4 linked regions of the Tamandua tetradactyla genome follow. The protein of the gene in region 1 interacts with the protein of each later gene in a pairwise test. Links are inferred from orthologs where the notes say so. Each region holds a gene or a part of one and is shown on either strand. Other genes may lie near its edges.

Region 1 (7,994 bases):
AAGGCCAGAAGACAGGAATGAGGTTATCATCTTTGAAGAACAGAGCAGCATCCAGCATGCTGGAATGCTGTGAGCACGGAGCCTGCAGCATTGAGGGACACTGAAGCATCAGTCAGAGATCAGATCCTATTGGGTCTCACAGGCCATGGTGAAGAGTGTAGGCAATGGGAAGCCACTGGGGTTGTTTTAGAACTGGATTGAATAACATGCTCTGAATTTTTCTTTAAAAATGTTTATTTGGCTGCTGTGAAAAAAAAAAAAAAGAAAAGAAAGATTGTAGGGGGCAAAAGTAGCATTTGAAAGACCAAAGGCTGGTGGCTGTAGCCCAGAAGAGAAATAATAGAGTTTAGATTAGCTGGTGAGGAGGGGGTGGGGGGGAGATGGAAAAAGTAGCATAGAGATATTGGAAGAGGAATCGGTAGATTTAAAGGACTGGACAAGGCAAGAAAAATCAGCAATGTAAGTTCAGTGAACTGATCATCTGAAACTCTAACTGTCCCCCCAAACCAGGATCTCATGATTGCCATAGTTTTATGCTTCTGGTAGCTTCCTAGTCCCCTCCTCCCAAAATCAAAAGTCAGAGGCACGGACATATTCATTCACCCTTAGTGGTCTGTCCTCCAGCAGCGAGGGGGGTGTGCTTCAGGATGAGTGGGTTGGCCCAGTGCTTGTGAGACAAGGAATCCAGGAGAGGGAGGGCCCAGTGGGGCTTTCAAGAGTTGGGATTGGAGAGGTCACTGCTCCCACACCAAAACCTAAAACACTGTGACCGACCAGGAACTATCCAAGCCAACTTTCTCCTATTTCAGACGGTAAAGTGAAGAATCATCCAAGGCCACACAGCAAAGCTACCATCCAAGGAGAGACCCACTCATGAAAAATGAGGGCACAGAAACGCACCCAGGACAGCCCTGTGTGCAGAGGCTGGGGTGGAAGGCACTCTGCCTTCATGCCATGCATTAAACCAGGTGAGGTGGAGGACAGAAGAGTCATTTTGTTTCTGCAAAGCAGCCCAGGGAGAGAAAGGGAGAGAGAAGGGCAATCTCTTCGCCTCCTGAGCCTGCATTCCCGAGACAGGTGAGAAGAGCTAAGGGCCATCATCAGCAAGAACAAGGCTGGTGTTTCTCTGGTGAGCTTGGCCTCTACCCACTCGCTAACCCTGGGCCTGGGGAGCAGTCTCCCGTGTGGTTAGGCTACAAGTGAATTGATCCGTCTTCTTATCAGAAGCTTCCAAGTTACTTTCCTGTGGCCCCAGGAAGGCCTTGTGCCTGCTTTTCTCAGGGATTCCTTCCATTGAATTCATACCAACACTTCCTCTACAACCCGTGCCCCAGACTGGAGGCCCTGCCTGGTAGGCTCTGGCTTGAGGCCTGGACCTCGGACTGTGGACTTTCCCCTCCCCTTTTCTGTTTGTTTTCAATCCTCTGACCCTTGGCTGGCTAGTGAGGTAGGCAGTGGGGAGGAGACTCCAGGGTGTACACAGACACACACAGGCGTACACACACAAACACATACACACACACACAGCCTCACATGCCCCCAAGTTTCAGTGGCTGGTCAATGATTGATTGGCATTTCACAGGTTGTTGGTTTCAGACCCTCAGAGGTCACCTCTATAAGTCAGGGTCTCGCGTTGGGCCTCTTCAGTGCTGGTGGCCACTTCCACAGCCCACAGGCCCAGTAACTGTTGTCCAAAGATCTTCTCAGGCAAATCTCATGCATCTGCCCCTCGGGCCCTTGGCTTGTTACCCTCTGACCTGCAGTCAGGCCCTTCCTTGGTACCCAGCCTCCCTCACTCTAGGCCCCTCTCAAACTCCTCCAACAACCGGCCCTATCCCGCTCCCTGATGTTTCCCCCACTGTCTTTGTCCTTCAGGCATCCTCTTTCCATGGCTCTCCTGCCAGGCCCCGCTGGGAGGGGCAGCAGAGGAGAGAATCAAATCAGCAGCGCCCACCCCTGCCCCCCTTCCTCTCCTCTTGTCAAACACCAGACAAGGTTTTTTCCCCTTCCTTTCTGGCTCTGAATGGGCTCATTCTCTCTAGTAGATTCGGCCCCTCTCGAGCCTCCTCCCCACAGCGTGAGTTCTGACCCCAGCTCCTCCCCCCCACCCCCTCTCTGCCCGGTCTCTGGTTGGCTCCGCCCCTCTGGGCAGCCTTGTATGCCAGCCAGGGGTTTGTTCTTAAGATCTCCAATGCAGAGAGGGGGGCTTGCTGAGGCAGGGCAGGGGTAGAGGGAGGGACTCTTTGTAGAAGGAGGGATTTACCCTGAGAAATCTCCTCTGGCTCCCCCACCCCAGGGGGGTTCATGGTACCCCTTGATTCAGAGCTCTCGAAACTAATGGATGAAGCCAAAGCTTTCAGAAGCCTCAGGTTCTGCCTCTGCTGTGTGGTCTTAGACAAGTTCCTTTACCTCTCAGGATCTCCGGGTTCCTTCCCTGTAAAATGGGGAATGATAACAGCCACCCCTGGTGCCTCGAGGAGCCAGTGTGAGAAGGAAGGTGGATGTAGGACAGAGGATGGCACAGAGAAGGATCCAATAAAGGATGGTACAACAGCAGCTTTCCTGGCTGCACAAGCTTTTCCTAACACAAGGGCTGGGGAAAAGCATGTTCCAGGGGAAAGGGACACCTCAAACCCTGACCCTATGGTAATATCCTGATGGTCTCCCACCAGCTGCACGTGCGATCACCCACGTACCAGCCCTCCCTCGAATATTTCACCACCAAGTAACTCTTGGAACCAGGTCAACACCTTTTCTCCCTGAGGGGCTGAGATGCTGTGGGTTTGAGGCAAGTTAACTAAATCCTATACCCTCTTCCTTAGGGAAGAGGGGCTGGTTTTGCTGGATGTTCAACTTTTTCCTAGTTAACCCTAAAACAGCCCTGGGCAAATTACTTAACTCTAATTCTAATTCTAACACCTAGAGAAAACAGGAATCTTGATGCCCGTCCTGGCGGGCTATTGTGTCCCCAGGAACAATGGTGTTTCCAAACATTTGTGATTATAATCCAAGGAATAAATTCATTTTACATCACGAACTGGAAACTACATACAAAACCACACTTACCCTTACTATGTTCTTACTCCACGGGATGTGCGCCGATCTTTTCTATTACATTCTATTTCTTAAAACAAACAAACAAACAAAAGTCTAGTCTTAATCATTTAAATTGGTTTCGGGGCCCTCTAATGATGAATCTGACCTGCGGTTTGAACAGTACTGGTTAGAGCTGGGGCGGGGGCGGATTTACCATAGGGTTAAGAAAGGTTACAGTTTCAGGCCCCTTATCTGCATATATGTGCATAATTTTGTACTTAATTATTTTCTTTTTTTAAAAATTAATTTTTAAAAATAAATTATAGGTTTACAGAAAAATCATGCAGAAAATATACACCTTTCCTCACACATACAACTTTCCCTATTACTAATAATTTGTATAACTGTGGTATCTTTGTTAAATTGATGACACAATATTCTCATAATTACACTATTAACTATACTCTATGGTCCATTAGCGTTCACTGTTTGTGTTGTACAGTCCTAGGTTTTTTTAAAATTTTTGTTCTAGTACCATATATACAACCTAAAATTTCCCCCTTTGCCCACATTCAAATATATAATTTAGTGGTGTTAATTACATTCACAATGTTGTGCTACCGTCATTGTACTTAAATTTGTATTCATAACTTTGTACTTCTTTTCTTAAAGAGCGTCTCCCACATCATATAAGCTTCAGGCCCCACAAAACCCGGTTCTGCCCCAGTAGAAGGAAATCCAGTCGATTTATTGAGCAGCTACTATGTGCCGAGTCCTGTGCTAAGTGCTTCAGGAGCGTTATTTCATTTACCCCCTAGCACAGTAGGCCTGATGCCATTACAGACTCTATTTTACAGATGAGCAAACTCAGAAGACTCGGTCACTTGCCCAAAGTCATAAAGCTAACAAACAGGTGGTAGAGTCCAGAGATTTGAACCCAGGTCATTCTGATCCCAGAGCCCCTGCTGCTCTCAGCCTCCCACAGGTGTTCGGCACAAGTAAGCACTAAGAAATTCTAGTGTCCTTCATTCTCCAGTCCCCAGCAGGTGTCCTGATCCCCCTCTTGGTCAGCACAGATGTTGCTCCTGGCTACGGTATTCCAAGAAGACTTGCCAGATTTAGCAAATAAAATAAGGAAGCCCAGTTAAATTTGAATTTCAGATAAACAACGAATAGTTTGTTATTATACGTGTGTCCCACGCACTACTTTGTGGGAATTTCCAACAAAAACATGCCTCCTTCCCTTTCAACCCCCTCTCCTCCCCCATCACTCGGGGTCTTAAGAACAGGGTCAGGGGTCCAGGTGGAATGCAGGGTGGGGAGCTGCAATGGAACAGGGTAACAAAAGGCAGGGGACAGAGCAGAAACCTTGAATGAATTGGGGACTGGGAGCCCCATAAAGAAACAAGAGGTATATCCTTTGAAGGATGCGGCTGAAGTCCCCTCTAATTTGAACTCTTCTCCTCAAATCTGTAGATTCCCTTACAACCAGCTTTTTAGACTAGGGAAGATAGCTAAAAGAGTCCAGAGGCTATGCCAGGCAGTCCTGGAAGCCAGAAGTTAAACACAAGGCATCCCCTTCCTTAAGTACCAATTTCACCTGAGGATATGGTGGGAAAACCATTATTTGATATTAGGACAAATAGGCATGTGATGGAGTAGGATGCAAACACGCCAGGAATGTTTAAGATAAACCTGCAACTTAGAAGAGAGGGAAGGGATGGCAGCCGGGCCTTAAAGAATTGGCCCCAGAATCCGGGGAGAGGCGGACGAGCCCCTCTCCTCTGCTTTTAGGGGTTCTTCGTGGAAATGGTTGGGATCGGCTGTAGGAAACCCAGGCGTCCGGGCGCTGGGAGGGGCCCCCGGCAGGCCTGCGCGGAGAGAGGGAGAAAGTGAAGCTGGGAGTTGCCACTCCCAGAGACTTGCTGGAATGCAGTTGGGGGGGGGGGGGGGCGAGCTGCGAGCGCGCTCGCTCCCAATCACTGGAGGAGGAGGAGGTGGAGGAGGACGGGCTGCCTTGAGGAAGTGCAAGAATGAAGTTGTGGAGCTGAGATTTCCCTCGACCGTGGCCAGAGAGACGAGAAGAAGCCCCCCGAGGCCTCCGCACGCCCCTCCTCCGGCTGCCGGGTTCCGCGCGGAGCGCCCGGCCCCCTTCTCTCGCCTGCCCGGCGCCCCCCAGCCTGGTCCAGCCGGAGCCATGGGGCCGGAGCCGCTGTGAGCACCATGGAGCTGGCGGCCTGGTGCCGCTGGGGGCTCCTCCTCGCCCTGCTGCCCCCCAGAGCCGCGGGCACCCAAGGTGGGTCTGGCGTGGGGAGGGGATGGAGCAGCGACAGAAGCCCCTGCAGCCTGCGTCCCCCCTGAGAGCTCCCCGGACGCGCGGGGGCAGGGGACACCCGAGCTGTCCCGACCTGGAGTAGTGGGCACTCGGGGCGCTCGGGGTGGCCGGGCCTTGGGACAGAGGGAGGGGGCGAAGTAGTTGGGGCAGGGGGGCGATCGCACCCACGCAGCCGTAGTCGAGGGACCGACTGGCCCTTCCCAGACTCCAAACTGCTCTGCGAACTTGTCAGCAAAGTCCTTTGGAATTGTTCAGAAAGCTTCTCCCCCAAGGGTATACTGCGTGGTGTGCGTGGTGTGTGTGTGTGTGTGTGTGTGTGTGTGTGTTCCCCTTCTTGAACCCCTTGAAGCCTTCGCAGTTTTTCCAGTTGGCAGCCTCCGCCTCCCGACTGGTCTGGGCTGGATTCCTTTGGGGGTCCCCTCCGCCCTGTCCCTGCCCAGCCCTTCCCCCCTCCTCCCCTCCTCCCCTCCAGCAGCTAGAATTTGGTGACTCCAGCTCCAAGCAGGGTCCGGGTGTAGAGGGGGGAGGCGGGGAGAGCAACCTGTCCAGCCCAGGGGGAGGAGGGGGGGCAGGAGGCTGCAGAGTTGCCTTATGCTGGGGTCTGGAGTAGGGGGAGGGAGAGGCGGGTCGTTTTGAACAAGTTTCTTTAGGGCCAACTGACTGGGGGCCTGGGTGTTTTGTGACTTTGGGAGCGTGTGTGTGTTGGCGGTGGTGGGTCTGGGACCTGAAGTGGGAGAGTTCCGAGGGAGGGATTCCGGGGCTCTTGTGGGGGAGGCTGGGCTGTCTGGCAGCCTTTTCTTTCATGCCCTGTGTGGGGAAGGGTGATGTGGGGGGCGAGGTGTGTTCTGCGAGGAGTATCTGCCCACCTGTAGGTGATGCTGAGAAACGCAGACGTGTCCCGGTGGTACACCCTATGTCAGGTCCTGGTATGGCGTCCTGTGCGCATTCCCTCCTTTCACCCTCAGCCACCCAGTGGGAGAAGTCCTGTTTCCATTGTCCTGGTGAAGACCTGGACCGTAAGGAGGCTCAGTAACAGCCGGGAAGTGGTGGGGCCCACCCCTGACCCCAGCCAGCCTGACCCCCAGCCTCATTCTCAAAATCACTATATTCAATCAAAGGGGAAATCAATCCCCCTTGAATGGTGGGAGCTGCTACCCGCATCACCGGGCTGGAGGGAAGACAAAATGAGAGTGTTCCGACAGTAGTGGGTGGTCTCCCCGGGTCAGGGAGTCTGGTGTGGGCCGCGTGTTGCCTGAGGGCCCCTCTGTCTGGGCATTGCTGTGTTGTCTGGAGAGTTCCTGTGGGTGTCCGAAGCTGCCCGCTTTTGCCAGGGTGTTCCTGAGTTGTGTGGACTGAGTGTTTGTATGTCTCTGCTCTGTGTTGCCAAACAGCAGTCTCCCTGCCCCCTTGGGGACTGGGCTGAACTCTGCCCTCTCAAGGAATTCCCTCAAGGTGCTGGGCTAGATCGGTTGTAAACAGCGGGAGGTGGCCTCCTGCCTTGTCTCTGAGGAAGGAGGCGCCTCTTTCCCGGTGAGCCCGTCCTCTTTCTCCCTGAACCCAGGCGGACGTCTTCACCCCTGACCTTCTGAGGAGAAGGGTGAGGCCAGGCTTGGCGATCGGGCCGAGTTGCTATCCTCCTTGCCTTGGCCTGGGAGTTGAGCAGGTGGGGAGCGGCGGGGTTGCTGCAGAGCGATCTGAGGAGCTGTCTCCTGGGGTCTCCTCGCGTCTCCCTCACCCCTCAGCTTGCACTGTGGGGTGCAGAGAGAGACTCTGGGTGCGTTGTATAGGGATTGGCTAAAATGGCAGCCCACCACCCAGCTGCCTCCAGCACCCCCATTATTGTCCATGGCTGAAGGAAGGGGCAGGAACATGGGGTGGAGGGGAGACTTGGGGAAGGCTCAGAGGGTCAGGATTTTGCTGAGATCCTTTCTGCAAGGTTTTATAAAATTTCAGCAAACACATCCTTTTTATCTTGCACAGCTCATATGTTATTATTTCCAGAATCGTTCTCCCAGCAGCCTCCTTCCTTCTTTTTACTATACTTAGGGAAAGTGACCTCATTTTAATATTCAAGAGAAAACAATAGAAAGATAGGATCAAATGTCAAAAGAAAACATCTATCCCATTCCAATGTCAAATAGGAAGCACTTTTTATTTTCTCTTGGTTTGGGATTACCCATGCTTCTGCCTTAACTTTAAAAAATGTCCTGAGTGTTTCCTACGTGTCACCTTCTTACCCACAGACAGTTTCATTTCACCTCTGCAAAGGTCCTGCGAAGTATGTGCACAGATTGGAAAACTGAAGTTCAGGGAAATGAAGCGGTTTATTCAAGCCAGCTAATCAGTACCGTCCAGGGCATGTTTGGCTCCAGAGAGGAGGTCTCAGCAGTAGATCAGAGACTTATTCCATTCCCCGGGAATGGGTTGAGCAAAGCCCATTCAGGTGGATGACCTCCCATCGGTTTATCTAGGCTATAGAAAGTGGGGCTGTCTTCCTCCACCCCATCCTGAGCTGGGGCCCTGAGCTCCCTTCCCGGCTGCGGGGTCCTCTCCCTCCCAGGCCAGCCCATGCTTGCCTTCCTTTTGATTTTGAGCCCTCCCATCATGGCAGGGGACTGAGGGC
Region 2 (7,738 bases), on another chromosome or scaffold:
CTCCACATCACTTCTCTTTCTAACATACTATATAGTTTATTGGGGGTTTGTTGTTGTTGTTTACTGTCTTCCCCCTCTAAGATGTAACCTCCATGAGAAAGGGATTTCTGTTTGTTCTGCTTACTTTAGTATCCCTAACTCCTCCATAGATGCTAAAGATTTATTCAATAAATAAAAGGCAGACACAGTTTTTGCCATAATGAGTCTTATGTTAGGATAGATACTAACTGGTAAACAAACACATAAATATAGTAATTAACAATGACATGGGCTATGAAGATCTCTAAGACCAGGCGTGTTAGAGACTGGGGCAGGAAAAGACATTTGTGAGAAAGTCTCCTTGGGATGTGAATGATAAATACACATTAGCTGCTAGAGACGAAGGCAGAAACCTATCTCCTGAAAAGGGATCAGTCAGGGTAAAGACCTGAGGTGAGAGAGTTCCTGGCAGCTTTGAAGAACAGCAAGAGGACCAGTATGGGTAAGGCAAGGTGACTGAGGAGGGAGGGTGGAGTGATGAGACCACAGAAGTACGGCAGGGCCAGATCACATGAAAGAATGAAGAATTTGGACTTTACCTTACGGGCAGCAGTCTTTGCTTGAAGGATTTTAAGAAAGAGAATGTCATACGATACACATTTTTTTTAGGCTGCTGTGTGGGGAACAGACTGTAGGGATAGGTGTGGAAGGGGGGAGGGGGGAAATGAGGAGACCTCTGCAACATTCCAGGTGAATAGTGATGCTGAGTGCAGTGGGGGTGGTGAAGAGAGGTCAGATACTGAATATAATTTCAATGTAGAGCTACACGAATTTGGTGATGGATTACAACAAATGTGAAAAATAGGGCCAATGTGAGTGTAATTCTTCAGTTTCAGCACAAATCCCCTTTCCTCAAGAAGCCTTCTGGGGAAATGGGGATGCTAACTTAGGGCCATATCTTAAACACCCTTGAGTCCCCTGGACTTAAGTTCTCCTTCATTACACACTTCATACTGCTGTGTGGCTGTTTAATGGTCTGCTCTCCTACTCACCTATCAGCTTTGGGAGAGGGGATTCCTGTCTGTGTTTTCCACATTTGTATCACTAATCGGTGGCACAAAGGAGGTGCTCAACAATTGCTTGCTGGCTAAACGATAAGAACCCTTTCAAGCCTGAGTCACGTGTTCCTAAATCAATCAGCTTCCACAGTTCCTAGGCTGGCATAAGAAATGATTTGCTCTTCCTGATGGCTCAAAGTGGGTGGATGTGTGTGGTGCGGGATGGCCTAGAGGACCCAGCCTCACCTGTCATCCCAGAGGCAATGGAATTCATTTAGCTGCTCATCAAACACCAAGCCGGTGCCAGACAGTGCCCTGGCCTCAAGGTCCAGATCCTGCAGGGAAAAAAATGGGAGAGACAGATCCATTTAGGGCCTGAGTCAGAGGGGTCATCCTGTATGGTCCAGGATGGAGAACCTCAAGGTCTCAGGCTTTTGGTTGCTATGGGAGGCCAAACCGAGTCCAGGTCCCTCTCACCAGCCCTTGCAGCCCCATGATTAGGTCTTGCTCGGCTGTTGGGCTGAGCTTCTTCATTCTGCCTTTCTTCTTTACCTCCGCTAGACTGGGGCTGGAGCGGGGTCCAGCACCCTTTTTAACACCTCGCTTCTGCCGGGCAGAGAGAAGGGTCAGAGTCCAGGGGACGGCCCGCTGCTCCCCCTCCCCCTCATCAGAGCAGGTCTGAGGCCTCACCGCAGTGGTGACGCTGGAGTCGGAGACGTGGGGGGGCGAGTGGGGATTGTGCCTATTCCTTCGCTGCCTGGTGGAATCCTGGCCGATGGAAGTCATGGTCGGGGAGACTGCGACCTGCTGCGGTACTGGGGGAGTGGAGGTGACTGTGAGGGGGCTGGAAGTGCCTGAGGACCCCCACATTCCTGCCCCCTTCTCAGGCCCCACCCCATATACTATACTCCATCCATGCCTTCTAAACTCCGCCTCTCGTAAGACTCCCTCCCTTCACTGGGGTTTCCCTTCCACCTGGTCCCGCCCTTTCCACTAGACTCCACCCCTTTGACACTATTTTCTTACTCCTTTCAAAGCCTGGTCCTTTCACAGAGTCCTAAAGCCCCAGGCTCAGTCTGTTCTAGGGCCTGCGCTTCCCAGTTAGTCATCGCCCCTTCCGCTCCACCAAGGCTCATCCCCAGACCCTTTCATTCCTCTAAACCTAGTCCAGATTCCAGGGGAATTCCAGGCTGCATTCACATACCTGCCCTTTCCCGCCTATCTCCTGGGATAGTCACCCACCCCTCTCACTTAGCCAGACCCAGCCCCTGCCCCGACTCCACCCTGAGCGAAGCACTTAACTCCACCCCTTACCGGGCCGCACTTGCCCTTCTGCCAGATCCCGCCCCTAACGTTTCAATAAACCGCGCCCCCTCAAGGGACGGCTTCTTTCTTTCCACAGATCCCACCCCCGCCCAGACCCTACTCCCTGTTTCACCCAAGCCGCTTCGGCCAGTCCCGAGCCACCTCCCGCCAGTCTCCGCCCCCGAGGCCCACATACACCAATCTCTGGGTTCCGCTCACAGAGCGCAGCCCCTTTCTCAGACTCCGCCTCTTGCTCGTGCCGCCAAGCTCCCAGCGGCCTGCGGAGCACCCGGTGCCCGAGCCCTTCCTCTCCATTGGGCACGCTTTCTCGACCGCCAGCCCAGATCCCACCCACACCGGGCACCCTCCTTTCCGCGAGGCCCCACCCCTCGCGTCGGGCACACCTCCCGCTACTTCAGAAACGGGCGGCTGGCCGGCGCGTCAGCATGAGGCGCCAGTTGTTCAATACGGGATTTAAGCTTAAGCTGTACTTTCCCCCAGCTATCGTTGCGGTCGTCCGAGCTGCCACGGCCGTGCTCCTCCGCCCCTACCCCGTCACCTTGGGAGCCCTTCGGACCCGCGGCAACCGTGCCCTGCGACGATTCAAGACAGGGAGAGGGCGAGCAAGAGAAGGAAGGAGTTGGGAAGGGGCGTGTTCACACCGCCCCGCCGCTTCCCGCGCGGCGCCGGGTGATGACGTAACGCGGGCGGGTTGGCGCCGGCGAGTGAGGTTGAGGCGGGATGATGGCTGGTGGAGGCCAAAAATAGGAATGATGGTAACAATAAATGTGGTGGTTTATTCAGTGTTTCATGCTTTGGCTAAGGTGGCACACGTGGAACACTCACCGAACGTTAGCTGTTAATAGTCTGCTGTGACAAATGGGTGATGGGGAAGAGGGGCCCCAGCAGCTGTGAAGATAGCAAGTATTATGTGCCAGATGTTGTTAGCCACGACTCTATGAGGGATTTCCCATTGTTAACGCTACTTTGCAGATAAGGAAGCAGGTTCTTCGATTAGCCATGTGACCTTGGTCAAGTTCCGAATGTCTCTGTGCTTCAGTTTCCTCATCTGGAAAATTGTGATAATAATAATAGTGCCCAGGGCCAGAATGGACCAGGAGTTTTTCACGGCTGGCTGGTCTCCCTATCTGCCCCCTCCACCGGATAACCTCTGCTCCCAAGTTGCATGGGAAAGTGTGAGTGTGCCGGCCTCGGGCTCCCGTACCTCCACCCCCACCCCTGTCTAAATATCTGCCCCGCGGGGAGGCCGGTTTGTCTTTCCTAATCTCCCTCTCTCATTCTCTACCATTTCCTACCCGGCCGCAGGCTGGGGCGGGAGAGATAAGCGGTCTGGGGTTCAGCATCGCTGACTAATAAGCAGATTGACAACCTCACTGCCCAGTAGCCGGGCCTTCTGACTCCTTTGAGGTTCCCAGTTCCAGCCCCCTCTTCCTTTTCACTCTTTTCCTGCTGTCTTTTCTCCAAGTGGAAGAAGGCCACAGACTTAAGACCTTTAAACCTCCACATACACCAAAGAAACACATATGAAGTGATACACACTGGGGGACATTCTGGGATTGTGATGTCTGCAAAGCAGGGAGTCTTGTAAAAGGTCAAGGCCTATAGTTCTGTATAGTCAGGAGATTAATTCCTGTAGAACAGGGGTCAGCAAACTTTCGATAAAGGGCAGGAAGGCAAATATTTTAGGATTTGTAAGCTGCTTGAAGTCTCTGTGGCATAATTTTGTTTTCTTCTCTTTTTCACACCCCTTTCAGAAGGTAAAAACAGGCAGTGGGCTGGGCTTGGCTGGCTGACAATAGTTTTTCAATACTTGCTGTAGAGTGTCATTCTTTGGTTTTCATTACCTGGCTAGGATTCTTTTCAAGGATGAAAGCAGGGGTTCCAGGCTGCATGAGGAGAGGTATTCCTTTTGTGTGAGATGTGAGGACAGGGACTCTTGGATAGGATCAGGTCACTCCTGACCTTTCTCTACTGTGTCAAGCAAATGTCCCTTGATAGGGGAGTGCACAGAGGTTCCTGAACTTTCTGTTCCTCTACTGGATCAAGCAGGGGTTTCTATACAGCACAAGAAAGGTGTTCCTAGAGAGCTCCAGACTAGGGGAACCTGTCCAAGTTCAGGATGGGGCTCCTTAGACTGAATTATGGCAGGTTCCTACAAACAGATCAGGGTTAGGACAGGTTTTTCTGAACAGGTTCAGTACTTGTGATCATATAGATAGTAAGATCATATGATCATGCCTAGATTCAGGTCAAGAGACTGTTATTCATTAAAATAAATTATGCTAGCTGCTATAACAAACCAACCCAGAATCTCAGGGGCTTAACAAATGACTAGTGGATCATTCATGGACCAGGAGACCTCCATTTTGTGGCTGTACTCTCCTCTAGGTCCTTGGAGATTTTTTTCTCTTCAGCCAGTAGGTGGGGAAGGAAAGGGAGAGTGGAGGTCTGCCAGGGAAGTTTTTATGAGCCAGGAGAAGTGGTATGTATCACTTTGGCACATGTTCTGTTGGCCAGAATTCAGCTTGTGTCCCATCTGGCAGAGGTTGCAAGGGAGGTTGGAAAAGATAGAGTAGGCTCAGGAAGAAAGGGAACAGGCTTTGATGAACCCATGGCAGAGTCTACTCCAAGATTCTATTGACTCCATAGAGCTCCACTGTCCAATATGGTAGGTACTAGCCACATGTGGCTAATTAACCCTTGAAATGTGGCTCGCCCTAATTGGAATGGGTTATAAGTGTAAAATACCAAATTTACAAAGTTACAAATTTGTATTTGTAATTTTACAAATTTGTAAATTTAAAAATTTACAAATTTGTATTTGTAAAATACAAATATTGAATATTTGTATATAATGTGGTGCTGGTTTGAAACTGTTCTGTACCCTAGAAAATGTCATGTTCTTTTAATCCATTCTTGTGGATGCAGACCTGTTGGGGTGGGATCTTTTGATCAGGTTATTTCCATGGAGATGCGGCCCACCCAATTCAAGGTGAGTCTTAATCCCCTTTCTGGAGTCCTTTATGAGAGGATGCAGAGAAAAACCCAGAGACATTTTGGAGAGACCTCAGAGCCGAGAGAGTTTAGAGAGAGAAAATGCCCCGGGAGAAGCAAGAAGGGCCCACAGGAGCTGAGGGAGCCACACTGAAGCCAGAAGCTGGGAGAGAAGGATCAGCAGACATTGCCATGCCCCTTCCCATGTGTCAGAGGAACCCCGGATGCCATCAGCTTTTCTTCAGATAAGATATTGTCCTATTGATGCCTTAATTGGGACATTTTCATGGCCTTAGAACTGTATATTTGTAAACTAATAAATTTCCATTATAAAAACCAACCCATTCCTGGTATATTGCATTCTGGCAGTTTTAACAAACTAAAGCAAATGGGTAAAGTAAAATACACCATTAAAATTAATTTCACCTGTTTCTTTTCCTTTTTTAAAAAATGTGGCTGCATGAACATTTAAAATGACACGTGACTCTCATTATATTTCTGTCGGACAACACCGCTATAGAAAATTATGTTTAAAGTATTGGGACAGGCGTTCTTGTACTGAGCAGGGATATGGGTTTCTCTACAGAGTCCAGTTAGTGTTTCCTGTCTGGGATATGGAAAATGATTCTATTACAATGCAAGGCAGGTTTATAGGAAAAGATGCTAGTTGGAGACATTGTGGCGTGAGAGGGAAGGATGTGAAGGGCACTTTTCTCCCTGAACAGGTAAAGATTAGATGCTCCTTTGGAGGCCAGGAAAGTTACTTTCTATAGGATCACAACATGCTCAGGATGGTCAGGATTGGGTTCCTGTAGAGAGAGCGGTGGATCAGATAATCATGTTGAGGGTTAGGCCTGGGGTTCTCCTGCAGACTTGAGACAGATGTTCATGGAAATTCAGGCTATTGGTTGTTTAACAATTTCAGAACAGGGGTTCCTATAGAGAGTAGGTATATTTGTATTGGTTCATTTCTTGGATTCCTGTGAAGAGTTAGATCAAAGGTTCCTGTTGAGTAAATGTAGGGTTTTCTGTAGCAACTCAAGACACAGGTTCCTGCTGAGAGTCATGGAGGGTAGTCCTGTGCAGGGTCAGGACAGAAATCCTGTACAGTTAGGAAGGACACTGTTTCCTTCAGAGATTCAGGTGAGTGTTCTTCTTTTGCAGCAGGACAGTGGTTCTTTTTATTTTTTTTTTCACATGGGCAGGCACCGGGAATCAAACCCGGGTCTCCGCCATGGCAGGCAAGAACTCTGCCTGCTGAGCCACCATGGCCCGCCCAGGACAGTGGTTCTTATACAAGGTGAAGACAGGACTTCTGGGACAAGGCCAGCATAAGGGTTATTATGGAAAGTCAGATCAGGGCTTCCTGTTCAGTGTCAGGACTATGTTTCCAGAGAGTAAGGTCAAGAGTTCCAATAAAGGATTAGATCAGAGGTTCCCATAAATGACTAAAGTAAAGGATTTCTCTTGAGGTTCAGGAAAAGGTTTTCTACAGAGAGTCAGATCAGAAGTTCCTGAGTGGTTGTAAGGAAAGGGTTCCTGCAGAGGGTCAGGGAGGTAAATCTAACATAGGGGAAGGAAAAGTGTTCCTACATGGTGTAAGGACAGGGAGCCCCATAAAGCATCAGTAAACAGTACCTGTATAATGTCTGGGCAGGAAGTCTGGTACCAGTTGAGGTCACAGGGGGCTCCGTGAGGGTAGAGAGTCAGAACAGGGGTCCCAGCCACAGCGTCAGGAAATAATTTTCTACAGGTTTGAGACTGAGGCTCATACTGAGAGTTGGATTATGGATTCCTGTAGACCTGATGGTGTAGGGCGTGAGGTCAGGGATTGTGTAGAATGGGGTCAGGGGTTCCTGTACATTATGAATGCAAGAGTTTCTATATTCGAATCAGAGCTGGGTTCCTGAAGAGTTTAAGGACAGGTATTTCTATACTGAGAGAGAGCCAGGTCAGTGGTTCAGCACTTGGGTTTTTGTTGAGATTCAAGGTAGGAATTCCTGAAAGAAGTTCCTATACGTTGTCAGGCTTTGACAACACATTAACATCAACTGGGGAACTTGAGAAAGTACTACTGGAACAACAGAAAATAGACAAAAAGAGTACCTACTATGTGATTCCATTTATTTAACGTTCCTAACCAGGCAAAATTAATCTATGGAAATCAGGATAGTTATCTTTGTGGGAGTGGGGAGATGAGGAAGACTGGAAGTGGGCATGAGGAGGGCTTCTGATGGGATTGGTCATATTTTGCCTCTTGATCTGGGTTCTGCTCTGGAGCTGGGCTCACTCCATGTAAACCATTGTGTTGGTAGCTTACAGTGTATGCACTTAAGACGAAAAATACCGACGCTTGGGTTCTATCCAAGACCAGATAAATG
Region 3 (6,931 bases), on another chromosome or scaffold:
TCCTCTCTCCTGGACATGAGATAGATGGACACTAGCTGGGAGCCAACCTTCAGCATTTGGCAGTTTTTCTGATCTGACCCCACTCCTTATGGCATGGCTGTCAGTTCCATGGCCAGCTTTGGATACTTCCAGTGGCAGCACATTCCAAGATACCACGTCTCAATGATGGGGACCTGCCCTGCCACCACCCCCTCGGGGCCTGGCCCAGGAGCCCCTCCAGCCTATCTCAGCCAGCAGCCCCCTCCTGGTGCCTGCTATTTCCGCCCCTGCCGCCCGCTCCCACCTGAGCGGCCATACCCAGCTCCACTTCCTCAGAGGCCTCCAGGGACAAGGTTGGGGCCCTGGGTACCGCCAGCAGGACCCCCAACAGGGTCAACAGCAGGAGCATCTCCTTCCTGCGGCTCACACGGATCTGGGCTGGGCTTCCCGCGACTGCTTTCCTGAAACAGGGAGGGAGAAGACCTCAAGCCGCACGCCCACCTGTGTTGGCATTATCCCATTTTGCAGATGAGGAAACCGAGCAAGACATGGTCAGCAGGCTGGTCCAGGCCGACAGTCAGGCAGCAGCGGGGCAGAAACTGGAGCCATCTCTGCTGACGCCAGAGCCCAAGGCCTCCCCACATCAGGTTGTGTAAGGTGGGCTGGGGCGGGTTTCCTGCACTCCTTGGGTCCTGCTGAGACTTTGGCATGAGTTCACAGAAAAGGGCAGTTCAGGGAGTCTTTCCTTGGAGGGAAGCAGAGAACGGAGACACATCCTCTGCTCACTCTCAGCACACATCATTTATTATTATTTTTTTTTCTGAATAAATGAATTTACTGCTGAAGAGCCCCAAAGAAAAAAAAACTGAAATGTATTTTCAGGCCAAGCTTCAGCATTTGGCAGTTATTCTGATCTGACCCCACTCCTTATGGCATGGCTGTCAGTTCCATGGCCAGCTTTGGATACTTCCAGTGGCAGCACATTCCACATTAAGCAGCAAGGTCTTCCTTATTCTGAACCAGAGTTGTCGACCTCCACCCCCACCCCCCACAATTCCAACCCCCCCATAATTCCATCTGAGGCAACACAGGGTTTTGTGAAGAATGCAGACTTGAGTGTCAAAAAGACAAGTTAAATACTGACTCCAATTTGCAAATCTCTGTCCCTTTCTGGGTCACTTTCCTTGCAGGACTGCTTTGAGGACAAAAAAAAAAAAAGATACTCTGTGTAGGGGGGCTGGTCCTGCAGAATGTCAAAATGTTCTCCTCCTTGCAGCCCCCCATGCCAGGTCTGCCCTCACTCAGCCAGTCACCTCCAGTTCTAAGGTTGTTCCTATCACGTGTGATGAACCCAATCCTTCCATCCAGGTTACTCTCCAACAAATGCCACTGAGGCAGATGTGTCCCCCACAAGGAACACTGGCCCAGATGGGGCAGGCGGATAGGCTGATCACCGTCCAGTGGCTGGGAACAACCCACTGGCTGTTACCGGGGGCCGGGTAACAACCAGGAACACCAGTGACTCTGGATCTACCTTGCTCAGAAAGCAAGTAGATCCATCACATCCTTTCTCCTCAGCTACTGTCCCTTGTCCAGCTCCCCATCTGAGGCAGTGGGCACTCAGCCTGTCCTGGTGAGAGCCATCATCTTCCCCCTTCAAACTGGTCCTTCCTTGGGTTGCCCTGACTATAAACTGCCCGATCATTAGAGTCAGCAGCTGGGGAATCACCCCCTTCAGCCCCTGTCCTCTGCCCTCCCTCCACCCTATTTCCAGAGGATCCCACATTCTGTCTGTTCTGCCTCTTCCATTCCTCTCCATTCCTTCCCACTCCCCTGCCCTGAACTGGGGCAGGTCACGGTCATCTCTCACGTGGGTCTTTACAAATATCTCCTCCCTGGGCTCTTCAGCCTCCACCCTCCACCAGGGCCTTAAAAAAATGCACGTCTGACATGTCACCCTCCAGCTTACAAGTCCTTAGTGGCTACCTGCGTCCTGCAGGATCAAGTCCAAACTGTTTATCCAGCACCCCAGACCTCCCTCCTCAACCTCACCAATCTCTCCGGTCTCACTGACTGCCCATTCAGGAGCACGGACATCACTGGCTTTCAAAACTGAACACATCTGCTCTCTTGCCCATACCTCTTCTCCACTTGGCTAGGGCTCAGATGCCACCGTCGCTGGGCTCCCTCCCCTCCTCTTTTCAGTGGCCCCCTGCTCCTCCCTTCACTCTGCACGGTGCGCAGCACTCTGCATCCAGAGCTCAGGCTGGGAGTGGGGTGGAGAGGCCCGGGGGTTTTATTTCCACCCTCAGTATCCCGACCTCAGAACCTCAGGGCATTACGGGTCAACCAAGGCCGCTGATAGCCCAATCCAGAGAGGGCAGCCGGCCCTTGGTTCCATCTGGCAGCCACGGGTTCTCCTCCTGCCTTCCGCACTCACGCGCTGGGGAACCCTAGGCAAGTGACTGCATCACTCGGAGCCTCAGCTTCTTCATCTCTAAGCCGGGCATGCAGACGGCCCAGTGGCCCTGGGACGAGTGTCCGTCTTCCCCCTCCCCCCCACTGAGCCACCTTAGGGGGAGGGATGGGCCGGCGCGTCCCGAGGGGGGAGTTGCGGAGAGGGTCGGCCCGCCCGCCCCCGCCCGGGTAGGCAATGAGTAACCAGCTCCGCGGCCAGGGTGCTCTTTGGACGGAGCGGGACAAAAGGCCCTGTGTGCGCCGCGGGTTACTGATTTACCTCCCCCTCCGCCACCCCGCCAAGCGGACGCCCAGGTCCGCCGCGCTGGGAGCCGGCAGCCCCCGGAGCCCCGCAGCCTCTCGCCCCCTGGCGGCGGGGAGCACAGCCGGGGCCCGCACCGGGTCCCAGCTCACCTCAAGCCTTCGTGGCTGCGCTCCCGTCACAGGGTCTCCGCTCACCTGGCGGCTCCACGGCCCCGCCCCCGCGCCCGGCCGGGCCCGCAGACAGCCCGGGCGCGTGTCCGCCCGGGGCGGGAGAGCCAGAAATGCACCCACCAGCACCGCGGGGCCAGGGGCGGCCCAGGGCCCCGCCCACTCCGGCCCCGCCCGCCCCCCGGCCCCTCCCCGCCTGGACCGGCTCTATCCTGACAGCGGCGTGAAAGCTGGCAGCTTAGCGCCCCACCCACAACAGGCCCCGCCCACCAAGGGCCCCGCCCCGCCTGGACCAGCGCTATCCTGACAGCGGCTTGGCCCAGGACAACCCAGAGCCCCGCCCACCTCGAGCCCCGCCCCGCCCACTGGGACTGGCGGAACCCGGGACAGGCTCGGCTGAATTCCGGGGTCCTTCCTGCTGCCAGCCCCCTCAGACTCCGCCTCTTTCGCAGCACTTCCAAGTTCTAGACCACTTACTGGTGGGTAGACCCCGTGCTCTTCACCCCACTAGGAACGAGATCCAGCCCGCCCGCCGTAAGCAGACCTTGGCCCAACCTGGCCCCTTTGTTCTTAGGCGCGTTCGCCCGCCCCCTCAAATCCATTCTCTGCGCAACTTCCAGAATATTTGAAACACAGATCAGACTACATCCACCAACCCATTTCCATTTTCCAGTAGCTGTGAGTAGCAACTGGAAAATTTAAAAATATAAACATTTTTGGCAAAACCTGGTCCTTGCTCATTTGCACGTGCCGTTCCCTCTTTCTGGAACGCTCTGTCCCTTCTTGGGCTGATTACATTTATTTTTAGGTCTTAGCTCAAAAAGCACTTCCTCAGAGAAGCCCTCTGGACTTGGCAGGGTCTCTCTGGCTTCTTTTCGGTTTGTGAGACTGGACCCGGTGGGCTCAAATCTCAGCTACCGCGCGCGCTTGGTGGGTTACTTTGTGTCTTCATCTTCTCGTCAGTAAGATGGGTATAATGATTATACCATCCTCAGGAGGTTTTTGCAAACAGTAGACGTATCAGGGTGAATAATCCTTCAGAACGCTCCCTGGCATATGGCATTTGCTTTGTAATGTTAGCTGTGATTATTTTGGACACGTTATTTCTCATCACTCTCGCCAGAATGGTCAACTGTGTAAATAGTTGCGTAATGCTAAGCTCCTAAAAGGCAGGAACTGAGCCTGCATTCCTTGCCATTTTATCTCAAGTACGTGGCCCGGTAGGTGCCTCACGAGAAGCTCCGCCCCCACCCAGCTCAGGTGGACCTCACCTGTAAGTTCTTCTCTCTTGACCATCTAGACTATGGTCTAGACCTATGACCCCTGCTCACTCCTCACCTGAAGTCCAAGCTCTGGGCTCCTCTGAAGGATCCTTGAGGAAAAAGGAAACCCTTCAGCTTGAGTCTCAGGCCCACCTCAGATTTTCCCTAGGGCTAGTGGAGACCTTGCCCTATGAGAAACAGCTGCCTTCTGCATTATTATGCAGAACAGTCTAGTTTTTCCCCAAGTTCACTCCCAATGAGAGAGCAGCTTCACCTTTGCATAACCAAAAGATCGATTAAAGTGATTTTTTTTCCTCCTTCTGAACCGAAAGAAGGGTTTCCTCCCAGAGATAAATCAGAAGATAATTGTCTACAAAAAGCAGCTTGTCCTGATTGCCCTCATTCTGGGGCCTGCTTTGCTAGAGCACCCAGAAAGAATGTCATGCCTGGCGCTGGGGATTCCAGCAAATGAGGGCTGCCAGGAGGTCTGGCAAAGCCTCCAGTGGGCAGCGGCTCTCCTGGACTATTGGAGAGGCTCCCATCCCTGGCCCTCTGCTTGTGAATGTAGTTGTTAGGGGCCAAGACAGGCTGCTGGCAGGAGCTGGGCCCAACACAGCTTTCGCTCAACCTCCAGGCATCTCCCAGGTTTACCTGAGCCAAAGGCTTTCCTAGCCGAGGCCTGGCAACCTCCCTGTCTCCTGAAATGCCCTCATCCCCCAGGACACTGTGTAAGAAGGTGTTTCCTATATCCCTTGTCAGGCCCCTCTCCTTCTCACACCTCTCACACTGAGCCTCTGCAGAGTCTTGACACTCTCATAAGGTCATTCATTCATTCACTCATTCACCAAGTGTTTATGGAAGGTTTGGTATGTGGAGCGCACCATTCTAAATCCTGGGGATCAGGCAGTGACTCAGACATGTCCTCTACCCCTCAAGGAGCTGCTGACGTTGTAGTGGGGAGAAGCAGACAAGTAAACAGTGCATAGGGAGGCAGGCTGAGGGCATCTGGGAGAGGCACGGTTTTAGTTTCCTAGGCTGCTCAAAGCTGATACCATGAAATGGGTTAGCTTAGAAAATGGGAATTTATTAGCTTACAGTTTGTGACTGAGAAAATGTCCACATCAAGGCATCATCAAGGCAAGGCTATCTTCCCGAAGACTGGCCGCTGGTGGTCCTCGACTGCTCTGCCACATGGCGAGGCACATGGCGGCGTCCGCTGGTCTCTTCCTGCTCTTCCAGGTTTCCTTGCTTTCGGCTTCTTGCTTAGGCGGCTTTTTCTCCCTCTCTCCACATTCATTCCCCTTTAGAAAGAACTCCGGTCAGAGGATTAAACCCATCCTATGAGGTGGGTCACACCTTAACTGAAGTAGTCTCATCAAAAGGTCCCACGTGCAATGAATTTACATCCTCAGGAATGGATTAGATGCCAGATCATGTTTTCTGGGGAATATTCAGCCTCAAACCACTATAACACCCAAGCCTGTTTCTCTCTCACTGACTCACTCTGTTGCTAACATAAAATATTTCCCCAGTTACACATGCAATCTCTCTCTCAAAGATGTTCAAACGTCCACACACATGCATATACACACACCACCTCCTTTCACTTCTCAGGGAATCAGGAGCGTGCTAGCCTAACATACTGATCCTGGCTTGCTTCTGCCTCAGTTTTTCTATGCAGGAAATGGACTACACTCCTGTGTCCAGCTTTCCAGGGGTGTCTGGGGAAAATGAATGAGTTAACAGGTGGGGTGAGTTTCACCAGAATGGCAAGTAAGGTGGAAGTCCTTGCCTTGCTAGTTGCGTTGGACATGCATTATATCCTTTAATCCTGCCACCAAGCCAAATGGTGTGGGGATCCTTGACTCAGTTTTGCAGGAGAGAAAATAGAAGCTCAGGTTGCTGGAGTGACTGGTCTGAAGTCACACATAGCCAGCAAACAGCAGAACTGGAACTCGAACCCGGGTCCTCTGGGGCCCGCAAGGAGAGCCCAGGGTGACTCTCCACAGAGTCAGGGTGGCTGATGCCACCACTTCGACCCGTTTTCTGTCTCCATCCCCAACTGTGGCCTGGGGGGTTGGAGATTCACCTGACGGTGAGCTGTGGGGGTGGGGTCTGGGTACTTCTCCCCATGCCCATGGGGGTGCCTGTGCTGATGGGGCACCCACGATGTACCAGGCCCAAAGCCATGGGGTGCAGACTCTGGGCTCCCAGAGTGCCGAGGTGGGCAGGCCCCTCCTGCCTAGAAGCAGAGTCAGGGGAGGGAAAGCAGGCATTGCCTGGGGACAGTGACGTTGCTCTTGAATGGCAGTTGGGCTGGGGAACACTGGGCTCTTGTGTGGAAGGGCTGCTGCTGAGCCAGCCCAGTCCCTGCCCAGGCCCCACTCCAGCTCCAGCCCAGCTCAGGCCTGGCCCTCACCCCATCCTCTGAACCAGTCTAGTTTTGTTTTTTTTTTTTTCCCTTTTATTCTTTCCTTCTAAAACAATGTTTTGAGAGAGTTTAAAGATAAACACACAGGGCACAGGGTAAAATCATAACGCGCTCTACTCTGAATTGACAACTGTTATGATTTTTTCCAACCTCTTTTCTACCCTGGTCCCCCCCCAAGGGAGGACCGACTCAGGAGGGCAGAGTGGAAGCAACTTTGATAACAATTTGAATAGTTGAAGGTTGGGCTTTAGGGTCAGCCAAACCTGGGTTTTTTTTTGGCATGGGCAGGCCCTGGGAATCAAACCCAGGTCTCCGGCATGGCAGATGAGAATTCTGCCACTGAGCCACCATTGCACTGCCCTTCCACAAG
Region 4 (7,921 bases), on another chromosome or scaffold:
AAAAGTAACTAAAAACTAAGCCTTATAGAGGAGAGGGAAGTAAGAGGCACAAGAACACCCTTGGATTGAGGAAGTGGCTCTCTCCCATGGAAAAGGATATCAAAATATCCAGACCCCATGGAGGTATAGACCTACCACATCTTTCCCCAGCTGAGAAGCATATGGCCCAGCTCTGTTACGAGAGTTCCCAAAACGCAGTTCACTGCCCTGGTCTTCAGGCCAGTAACCAGGCTGTGGTGTTAGGAATCATTTGTAGAGGATGTAGCAAGTCACGATGCACTGGAAACTGCTTTGTACTTTGCCCTGGAAGAGGGAGCAGGGATGGAGAGCCCCCTAGGAACCAGAAGAGGTGCTGCCGGGTTAGATGCAGCCAGGAGTCACCGACAAATGTGTGAGGAGATGGTGGTGAGAAAGCAAACTATCACCCCAAGGTACACAGGCCAGCCTGGAGCCCTCTTCCTCTTAGTTTTCCAGGACTTGGCCCTCTCTGAATTCCAAGTGTGCAAAGAGGCACCAAGCAAGCTTGGGAGCCTCAGAAGGGGTAGGCTAGAGGCAAGGGCTGACTGTTGGCGCCGTCTCCCTGCAGGGAACCCCCTCCCCTCATCACTGCATCCACAAGGCTGCTCAGAGCCTTCCCAGCAAAGGTTCCTTCCAGCCTCTAGGCGAAGGGAGGATGGGACAGTCGGGGCATTTTCCTTTTGCAAACTACAAAATTGTCCTTCGTTTTCAAATCGTGAAGCCAGAATTTCACAACTAACAGCTTTGATAACTGCTACAATCCCAAGTCTTCTAAAGCAAAAGGACCTTTTGAATTCTCCGAGGAAAGTAGAATTGGGAAATGGAGTTGGGATGCTGCAGAGGAGAAACAAAAAGTCAAGGCAGTGGGAAATGCCCACGAAAATCTAAGGTGGGAGTTCTGAGTCGCAACTGCCCTCAACCAGGAGAGGAAGGGCAGGGCGAGATTCTGTCTTTGTTTTCAGTGACCATTTCAGTTGCAAAAAAGTTCACAGGATTCTGTTTTGGAATATTGGCTGGATCGCTACACCTCCTCCCGATTTCACTTTGTCTGAGGGCCTAGACGCACGAGGCCACTCCCCTAAACGCTGCGCCCCCTACCCCTTTCCCTAAATTTTCCAGCCAGATTCAATTTAGGATTTAGGTCTCCTTCCCCCTCAGCCCAAGGCCGACAGGACTCCGGTTTTTAACCCCTTGAGGAGAGAAAACCCTCATTCTTAACCCCTTGATGCTCCTTTAAAGAAAAAATCCGGGGGCGGGTTGGGACCTTCGCAGAGCAGCCCTCGCCGGCGAAGGTCACTTTGCGGGGCACAGGACGGCGGTCCCCGCCAGAAGCCCAGGAAGAGGAGGAAAGACCCCGCGGCCCGCCTCGGCCCGGGCAGTACTTCTTGCCGAATCCGGCTCCCGGACCACCCAGGACCCGGGGCGTCGTGGGGAGCAATCTGGAAGGATCTTAGGACAACACGGGAGGAGAGCGGTTCTGCTCGCGCACACCCCCGCCGCCCCCCAACGCGCTGGTCTGACTGACGGTCTCGCACCCGACCTCCCAAAGCCTCTGACCAGCCGCAAAGGGCAGAAAACCCGCCCATGAGGAAGGTTTAACCAACCACCTCGGTTCGTGGACCCCCTGCCCCGAGCTAACTCCAGTCCTTGAGGTTTATTTTGCTTTTGCCGGGGAGGCAGATGGTGCCCGCTCTCCATCTTTGCTTGGTCCAGATTCCACGAACTCTTCCCCCAACCATTTGCTTCCCTGGGTCACCCCCCACCGGCGCGCTGTCCACGGAGTCAGCTTCCCCAGGCCTTTCAACCTTCCAGAATGTCACACATGGAAACCTTTAGCAAAAGTTTGTTAATGATCATAACAAAGGCATCATTCAAATTAGGCAGGTAATCACTACCAGAAGGACAACTGGGTGCTTGCTGGGCTCATCCATTCTCTCTGCTTTAAACTCTCGAGGAGTTACCGTCCGAAGTCGCCCCCGCCCAGCCCGCTTTTCGGGCCCCTTTAAAGCGGCTCCGAAATGAACTGTGAAGTTACCATTTGTGGGCGGGGGAGCGCTGGGGCCCCTCAAGCGGGAGACCCGGCTAGCAGTTTCCCGGCAGCACCGCAGGCCCTCCAGGCTAGGCTTTCTGTCTCGCCTCCTGCCCTCTTGGGCACCTGGGATAAAAACCCCGCTCTCAATTCGTCTTTAACAACAGTCTGAAAGCTGGTCCGCTGCTTATCAACTTTTATTCTGTGCTCTGATTTGGGGGGTGGGGGGTGGGGGAGAAGGAATGTTAGTTCCCGTTCATTATCTACAAACATTACGGTATCCTGTTAGCATTCTGAACAAGGGGCTGTTCATATATTTGCCTTCAATGATTTCCTGAAGGAACATGTGGAAGTAATAGCGGGCTGTGCAAGTCACCCGAGCTGAAGATGCATGAGAGGCGGGCACGCAGAAGGGCCCGGGGAGTGGGGCCCCCAAGCCGAGCCCCAGGCGCCCTCTTCCTGGGCCTGGCACTCCGGAGCCCGCCCGGGTTAAACCTGGCACCTAGCTCCTTGGAGTAATTTTTTGTGAGCCTCCCCTGAGGGTCTCCCTGTGTCCACCCGGTGAGGGAGGTGATGGCTTTCCCACGTGCCAGTCCAAACCTGACCGCCTTAGCCACTCTGACTGTGTGTGTTAGTGAAGGGAGATAAAGGATGCCCCCCTCCCCTCAACTACAGAATTCAAAATTACAGCAAGCGGGGAAGGTGAAAGCTCTCCCATCCCCCGCTCTCGACCCAGGTCTGGTTCCTGGAGCGTCAGCGCCCCCTTTCCCTTGTAAGCAGCATTGTTCTCTCCCAACACCATCTCTTTGCCTAGCGCCTTGGGCACAGGATTTGGGGCTCCACTCTCAACCCCAAGGCATTCATAGGGTCCGACCCGCGCGGCGGTGGGAACACAAGTGGCGTCAAAATACTCCCATCCCCAGGACTAGAAGGTGGCTGGCTTGTTGTTGACAGTTCCACAGTCTCCCAAGCCGGAGTCATTTTCTATGGGAGGTAGCCAGGGCAACCTTACCCTGATAACTCCGAAAACAAAGGCACAATAAGTGGCTTCTTGGGAGTAAAGGTCTTTCTGTAGGAGTATGTTCCAAACCTATGCAGAGTCTAGAGTCTTTGTATTCCCTTTCAGACCCCAGCCATTCAAACACACGCGCGTGCCCGCGCGGGTACACACATACCCACCTCCCACACACACAACACATCATTGCCGTATTGGACTCAACAGTTTGCCTAATCCCATTAAAGGATTAGCAACTACAGGGCACTTTCCCTAAAAGACTCCTGGTTCGAAACAACTCAACCACTTGGAGCCCTCCAGAGAGTCCCATTTCCAGTTGGGCCAGGAGCTTCTCTAGACAGGACATTTCTTGATTCCGGATTTATATTCTCTTTGTCAATTAACAGCAATTTTATGTATTCTTTTACTTCTTTTAAAGAGGATACAAAGCAGTATGGGAGCTGAGGAAAGTATCTCCCAAGTCAGGAGGCAATCTCATTCTGGAATGATGGGCAATTTGTATTTTTACGAAACGAAACGTCTTTCCCGGCAGAGCATCAACACCTCCCCCTTCCACCACCCCCACCCCATCTGGTCTGCTTCTCCCCGCCCTCACCCCCCCACCAGTTGTTGTTGAAACCTGAGGGTTGGGGCTGGACCCCCTGGTTGCATAAGAGCAAAAAGCGAAGGCACAATCTGAAGGCTGGGAGATTCAGAGAGTCGGGAGTTTGAGGGAAACTTTTATTTTGAAGAGGCCGAGGGGGGGCTTCGTTTCCTGACAGCTATTTACTTAGAGCAAATGATTAGTTTTAGAAGGATGGACTATAACATTGAATCAATTACAAAACGCGGTGTTTGAGCCCAATACAGTCGGAGCTAGAGGGAGAGAAACAGAGGAAGAGACCACAAGAGAGAGCTGAAGATTTGGACTTTTTTTTCTCGATGTGTAGGATTTTCATTGCTGATTAACATAGGAGAAGGTAAGGGAGGGAAAAAGTGATTGTTGTTTCCATGGGAAGTCCTTGATCAGGTCCTTGGGCTGGAAGAAGCGAAGTAACTTCACTCAAACTTTGGACGATGGGGGAAAAAAAAATTTGGAACTGAATTCCTGTTGTATGCCCAGAGAATAATTATTCTGAATAAACTTCACTTGGGAGGAAGATAATACTGAGTTAGAAAGTCTGGGGATTTTAAAACAACACATTTTCCAGGCCTATTTTAGTAGTGTTTTTCTAACAACCCTATGGCCTCCCCCAAAATTGTTTAGGCATTTTTGAGGTTTCTTTTAGGGATGGGGGTGGTATTCGTGGATGCTGGGAAGAGTACCAAGTAATGCTGGGGGTGGGAGCAGAGGTGTTTTGCCCTCTTGGCATTGGGTCCTGGAAGGCGACAGGTTTTTAATGAATATTTTCATTCCTCGCCCGTGGTTTGGCTGGACAGAGATGCAGCCCGCGGTGTGGAGCGCAGCTGGGGTACGCTGGAAAGAAAAGACCGCCGAGAGCGGCGAGGAAATGGGGCTGCAGGGCGGGGGAGGCGTGAAGGGTTCGGCTGGAGGAGGCAGGACCGCGGGTGCCTGCCGGGTACACACGGCGCCGGCCGAGCACGCGTAATTACTGGACGGCGCTACGCCGGGTACAAGCAGAGTCCAGAGTCAGCACATCTGCTTGCGGCTGCAAGACGAGCAGACAGAGCTCGGGCTTGCACGAGAGTTTGGGGTGCTTCCCAGGGTGTTGCCGGGTCAGGGAGGTGCGAGGAAGAGCCAGAGTGGGCGCCGCAGTACTCTTGGATTGCGCGTCCTTGCCCGGGGGCGGCGGCCGCGCGACCGCGCGGGCGTTCTGGAGTAATGACAAACACATTTGGCCCGGAGTGAAGAAGTCGTCGTCGCCTCGCATTCCAGCAACTGTGATTTGAGGAATTTCGAACGGTGCTCCTAGGGGTCTTCATTGTGCGCGGTGGTCCCCCACCTCCCATCCGTCGCTGCGCGCTCCCCTCCTCCAGGGGAACCCGGGGCTGTGCTGCTGGCCAGTCCCGGCCGCAGGAAGGAAGAAAGGAAATCGCCAGAAAAGTGCCGAACTTCTTTTGGGGAAATTAGAAATGGCTTGGAACGGAGAGGCTTGGTTCCAGGTAAGACAGAAAGGTGGGAGGTGAACAGCCCTCCCCTCTCCCTTCTCCTTCCCAGCACTGGAATTCTGGATGCTCCTCCTCCTCCCCACCCCCGCCGTGTGTCCTTCTACGTGCGGGGATGTGTGACACTCGCAGTCTGTGCTCGCCCTGCGCCATCTCCTAGAGCCCTTCCTTTCTCCGCCGTTTATCCCCAAGGAAATCGGCTTTTTACCCGTGAGGGTAACTTCTCCAGGCAGCGTCAGGGGAGCGGGCGGCGCCCATTTGGCTGGAAAACATCTGGGCTCAGAGGTTCTGTCTGGAAAGGTCTCGGCCAGTTCGGAACGAAAGGGAGTGTGGCCCCACCCGAGTCCAGCAGCCCGAGGGGCCGGGAACCTTGGCCGCCAAGCCAGGTGTGCGGGAGCTCCCGGGTGGCCTGGTCCAGAGTTTCGGCCGGGAAGGAAGTTCTGGGCTGTCTTGCCGCGGAGGGTCTTTTCCGCAGCCAGAGCGCTAGTCTCGCGCTTCCCTCCGCCTGCGCGGCTAAGACCTCAGGATTTGCAGAAAGGCTGTCTGAAAAACAGACTTGCCATTTGGACTCCCATTTCCAAGGGTGGGAAGCTGGAAAGGGAGCGTGGACGGCCCCTATTAGGTTGGAGTCGCCCCACGCCCGCCCGTACTCACTGGAAAAGCCCCGGGCTGGGAGGTGTGGGAAATGACTTTTTGGCTCCCCGGCCGAATTGCTCAATGTTTTGGACCGCCTCGCCTCGCCTCGCCTCGCCGCGGTCACTCCCAAGCAGGACTAGTCAGCTTTTTGGAGCAAGGGGAGGCATCCAGGGCAAATGGAGCACCACAGTTCTCAGCCGCACACCTCATCCCATCAGCACCTCAGAGGAGAGCGAGTCCCCGGGGCCGCAGGATGAGAGGAAGCGGTGCCCGAGGCGTGAGCACCTCACCCACTGCAGAGCGAGGTTCTGTCTGTTACACCCCGCCCTCTACTTGGTCAACCCGGACCCTGGCGTAGTTGCGTCGCATCCCCTCCCCCATCTTCCCCCTCCCTCATCTTCCCCCTCCCTCTCGACCTTCTCCAGGATGAGGGGCCCTTCCTCCGTTCCCCTCAGGTGGGGGCCCGCCCAGCCTCACTTTGACGCCCGGGTTGGTCCCTGCTTTGGAGCTCTTGCACATTCCCGCTGTTGGTTTGACCCAACTGCAGCTGGACTCCAAAACGAGTCCAGAGAGCGAGGGGGTGGTGCGGAGGAAGCGGTGGGGAGGCGCCAGGAAGGCGTCTGCTTCTGTCCCCGGGTACTCCTGCCCTTGCTTGGGTCTTTAGACAGAGATAGAGACGCAGTGAAGAGCGGGGACTGCCAGCTCTCGGCCCCGGGACCGCTTCGCTAAGGGCGGCGGGGTGGGGAGGGGTGCAGGGGGAGGGGCATAGAGTCGGGCTTTCCAGTTGCAAAAGCGTCTGGCGCCGAGGCGGGTCGACCGTGAGCCTCCTGGGGACCGGTCGTGGGCGGCGTGCCGCGACGCGTCCTGGAGACGTGGTGGCCAGCGACCTCCTGCAGACCTTGGAGGGCGGGGTTCCCTCCTGCCTCCGAGGAGGTTTCATGTTACTAGTGGAGAAGCAGCAATTCTGGGGAAAGACTTAGCCAAAAGGTGCGCTTAGTGTCCCGCGCGTCCAGCCTCGCGGGGTTTGTGCTCGGCACCAGCCGTCGGGATGTCTAGCTGGATTGCCCGCGGTCGAAGGTGCAGGATCCAGTGGCAAACTCCTTGTTCGGACTCCGCCGATACTTGTCTTCTTAGAAGTGGCTCGGCGGCCTTTGCTTTTGTTTAAAACTGAACGCCAAGCCAGGAAAAGCAGACTAGGAGCCGGACTAGGGGTGGGTGGGTGAAATATAGAGGATCCGGGGTTTGGGGCGCTAACTTCCTTGCCTCCCACCGTAGCCCGTAGCGAAGGAGGAGCGAGAGGTTCAGAGTCGGGAGGAAGCGCGAGTGCGCGGGGTAACTGCGGCAAAGGCGAACGTCGGACAAGGTGAGCACCCGGGTTCTTAAAAGCCGAGAGGGGCACAGGCTTGGTTCATTCCGGTCTTCCTGACGAGTCGCAGCCTGCGGCTGTGCCTCCTTCAGGCCCATAGGAGGCGCTGGCGCGCGGCTGTAACTCTAAACCCCCGGGTCCCTCTCCCTCCACCCCGCCCGCCCCCCTCGCAGGTCTCAACCCAAAACAATGCAAACGCCCGGAGTTGGGCTTGGGACCGGGCGGCCGCTGCAGCGCTGAGCTCCGGAGCGCAGCAGGCAGGGGAGAGGGGCCGTGGAACCCGTGGGGCATCGCCACCAACCCTGGGAAGACCGAGCTTCCGAGGGCGTGGAGGTGACTGGGGCGAGGAGCGGCCCAAACCGCGTTGGTGTGGGTGTGGCGGAGCTGGGGGAGGACCGTGCCAGCGCAAAGCCTCCCGGCAGAAGGTTTTCGAGTCGCGGTGCGAGCTGCGCTGTCGGTGACCGGGAGCTTGAGCCGCGGGCAAGCCAGCTGGGTAAGATTCGCAGGGCTGCTGCGCCCTCTGGCGGACTACCGAACCGTAGTCCTGCTTTCCGTCAGCCCCGGGCGGTCGGCGCCACCGCCGTGTCGAAGCGCGGAGTTGGGAGCTAAGGGCGGGGGTCCCAGAATAAATAACCCGGGCCATCTTTCCCGGTTCTTGAGGGATCGTGTAGACGGCTTGCAGGGACAGTGTGGCCCTGGAGGTGCTGGATGGACGGGAGTATCTGAGTTCCCGTCCATAATTAATAATTAT

Evidence for each region.
Region 2: the proteins of ERBB2 (region 1) and HDAC6 interact in a protein complementation assay, tested with the Homo sapiens proteins (2 studies listed by BioGRID and IntAct, with this or other methods). The link is inferred for Tamandua tetradactyla from reciprocal best matches to the Homo sapiens genes ERBB2 and HDAC6.
Region 3: the proteins of ERBB2 (region 1) and FGFR4 interact in a protein complementation assay, tested with the Homo sapiens proteins (2 studies listed by BioGRID, with this or other methods). The link is inferred for Tamandua tetradactyla from reciprocal best matches to the Homo sapiens genes ERBB2 and FGFR4.
Region 4: the proteins of ERBB2 (region 1) and PDGFRA interact in a protein complementation assay, tested with the Homo sapiens proteins (2 studies listed by BioGRID, with this or other methods). The link is inferred for Tamandua tetradactyla from reciprocal best matches to the Homo sapiens genes ERBB2 and PDGFRA.

What each region holds. Positions count from the first base shown.
Region 1 is NC_135332.1:27,586,160-27,594,153, reverse strand, and holds the start of ERBB2 (receptor tyrosine-protein kinase erbB-2), read left to right. Parts: upstream 1-4,983; 5' UTR 4,984-5,259; coding exon 5,260-5,332; intron 5,333-7,994. UniProt on the Homo sapiens protein: Protein tyrosine kinase that is part of several cell surface receptor complexes, but that apparently needs a coreceptor for ligand binding. Essential component of a neuregulin-receptor complex, although neuregulins do not interact with it alone.
Region 2 is NC_135353.1:121,434,230-121,441,967, forward strand, and holds the start of HDAC6 (protein deacetylase HDAC6), read right to left. Parts: upstream 3,008-7,738; 5' UTR 2,902-3,007; intron 2,878-2,901; exon of another isoform or gene 2,747-2,877; intron 2,696-2,746; exon of another isoform or gene 2,539-2,695; intron 2,470-2,538; exon of another isoform or gene 2,352-2,469; intron 2,335-2,351; exon of another isoform or gene 2,242-2,334; intron 1,853-2,241; 5' UTR 1,824-1,852; coding exon 1,728-1,823; intron 1,644-1,727; coding exon 1,515-1,643; intron 1,373-1,514; coding exon 1,284-1,372; intron 1-1,283.
Region 3 is NC_135346.1:58,737,113-58,744,043, reverse strand, and holds the start of FGFR4 (fibroblast growth factor receptor 4), read right to left. Parts: upstream 3,013-6,931; 5' UTR 2,851-3,012; intron 441-2,850; 5' UTR 389-440; coding exon 298-388; intron 1-297. UniProt on the Homo sapiens protein: Tyrosine-protein kinase that acts as a cell-surface receptor for fibroblast growth factors and plays a role in the regulation of cell proliferation, differentiation and migration, and in regulation of lipid metabolism, bile acid biosynthesis, glucose uptake, vitamin D metabolism and phosphate homeostasis.
Region 4 is NC_135345.1:54,468,768-54,476,688, forward strand, and holds the start of PDGFRA (platelet-derived growth factor receptor alpha), read left to right. Parts: upstream 1-4,906; 5' UTR 4,907-5,135; coding exon 5,136-5,165; intron 5,166-5,621; exon of another isoform or gene 5,622-6,109; intron 6,110-6,660; exon of another isoform or gene 6,661-6,791; intron 6,792-7,079; exon of another isoform or gene 7,080-7,167; intron 7,168-7,611; exon of another isoform or gene 7,612-7,663; intron 7,664-7,921. UniProt on the Homo sapiens protein: Tyrosine-protein kinase that acts as a cell-surface receptor for PDGFA, PDGFB and PDGFC and plays an essential role in the regulation of embryonic development, cell proliferation, survival and chemotaxis.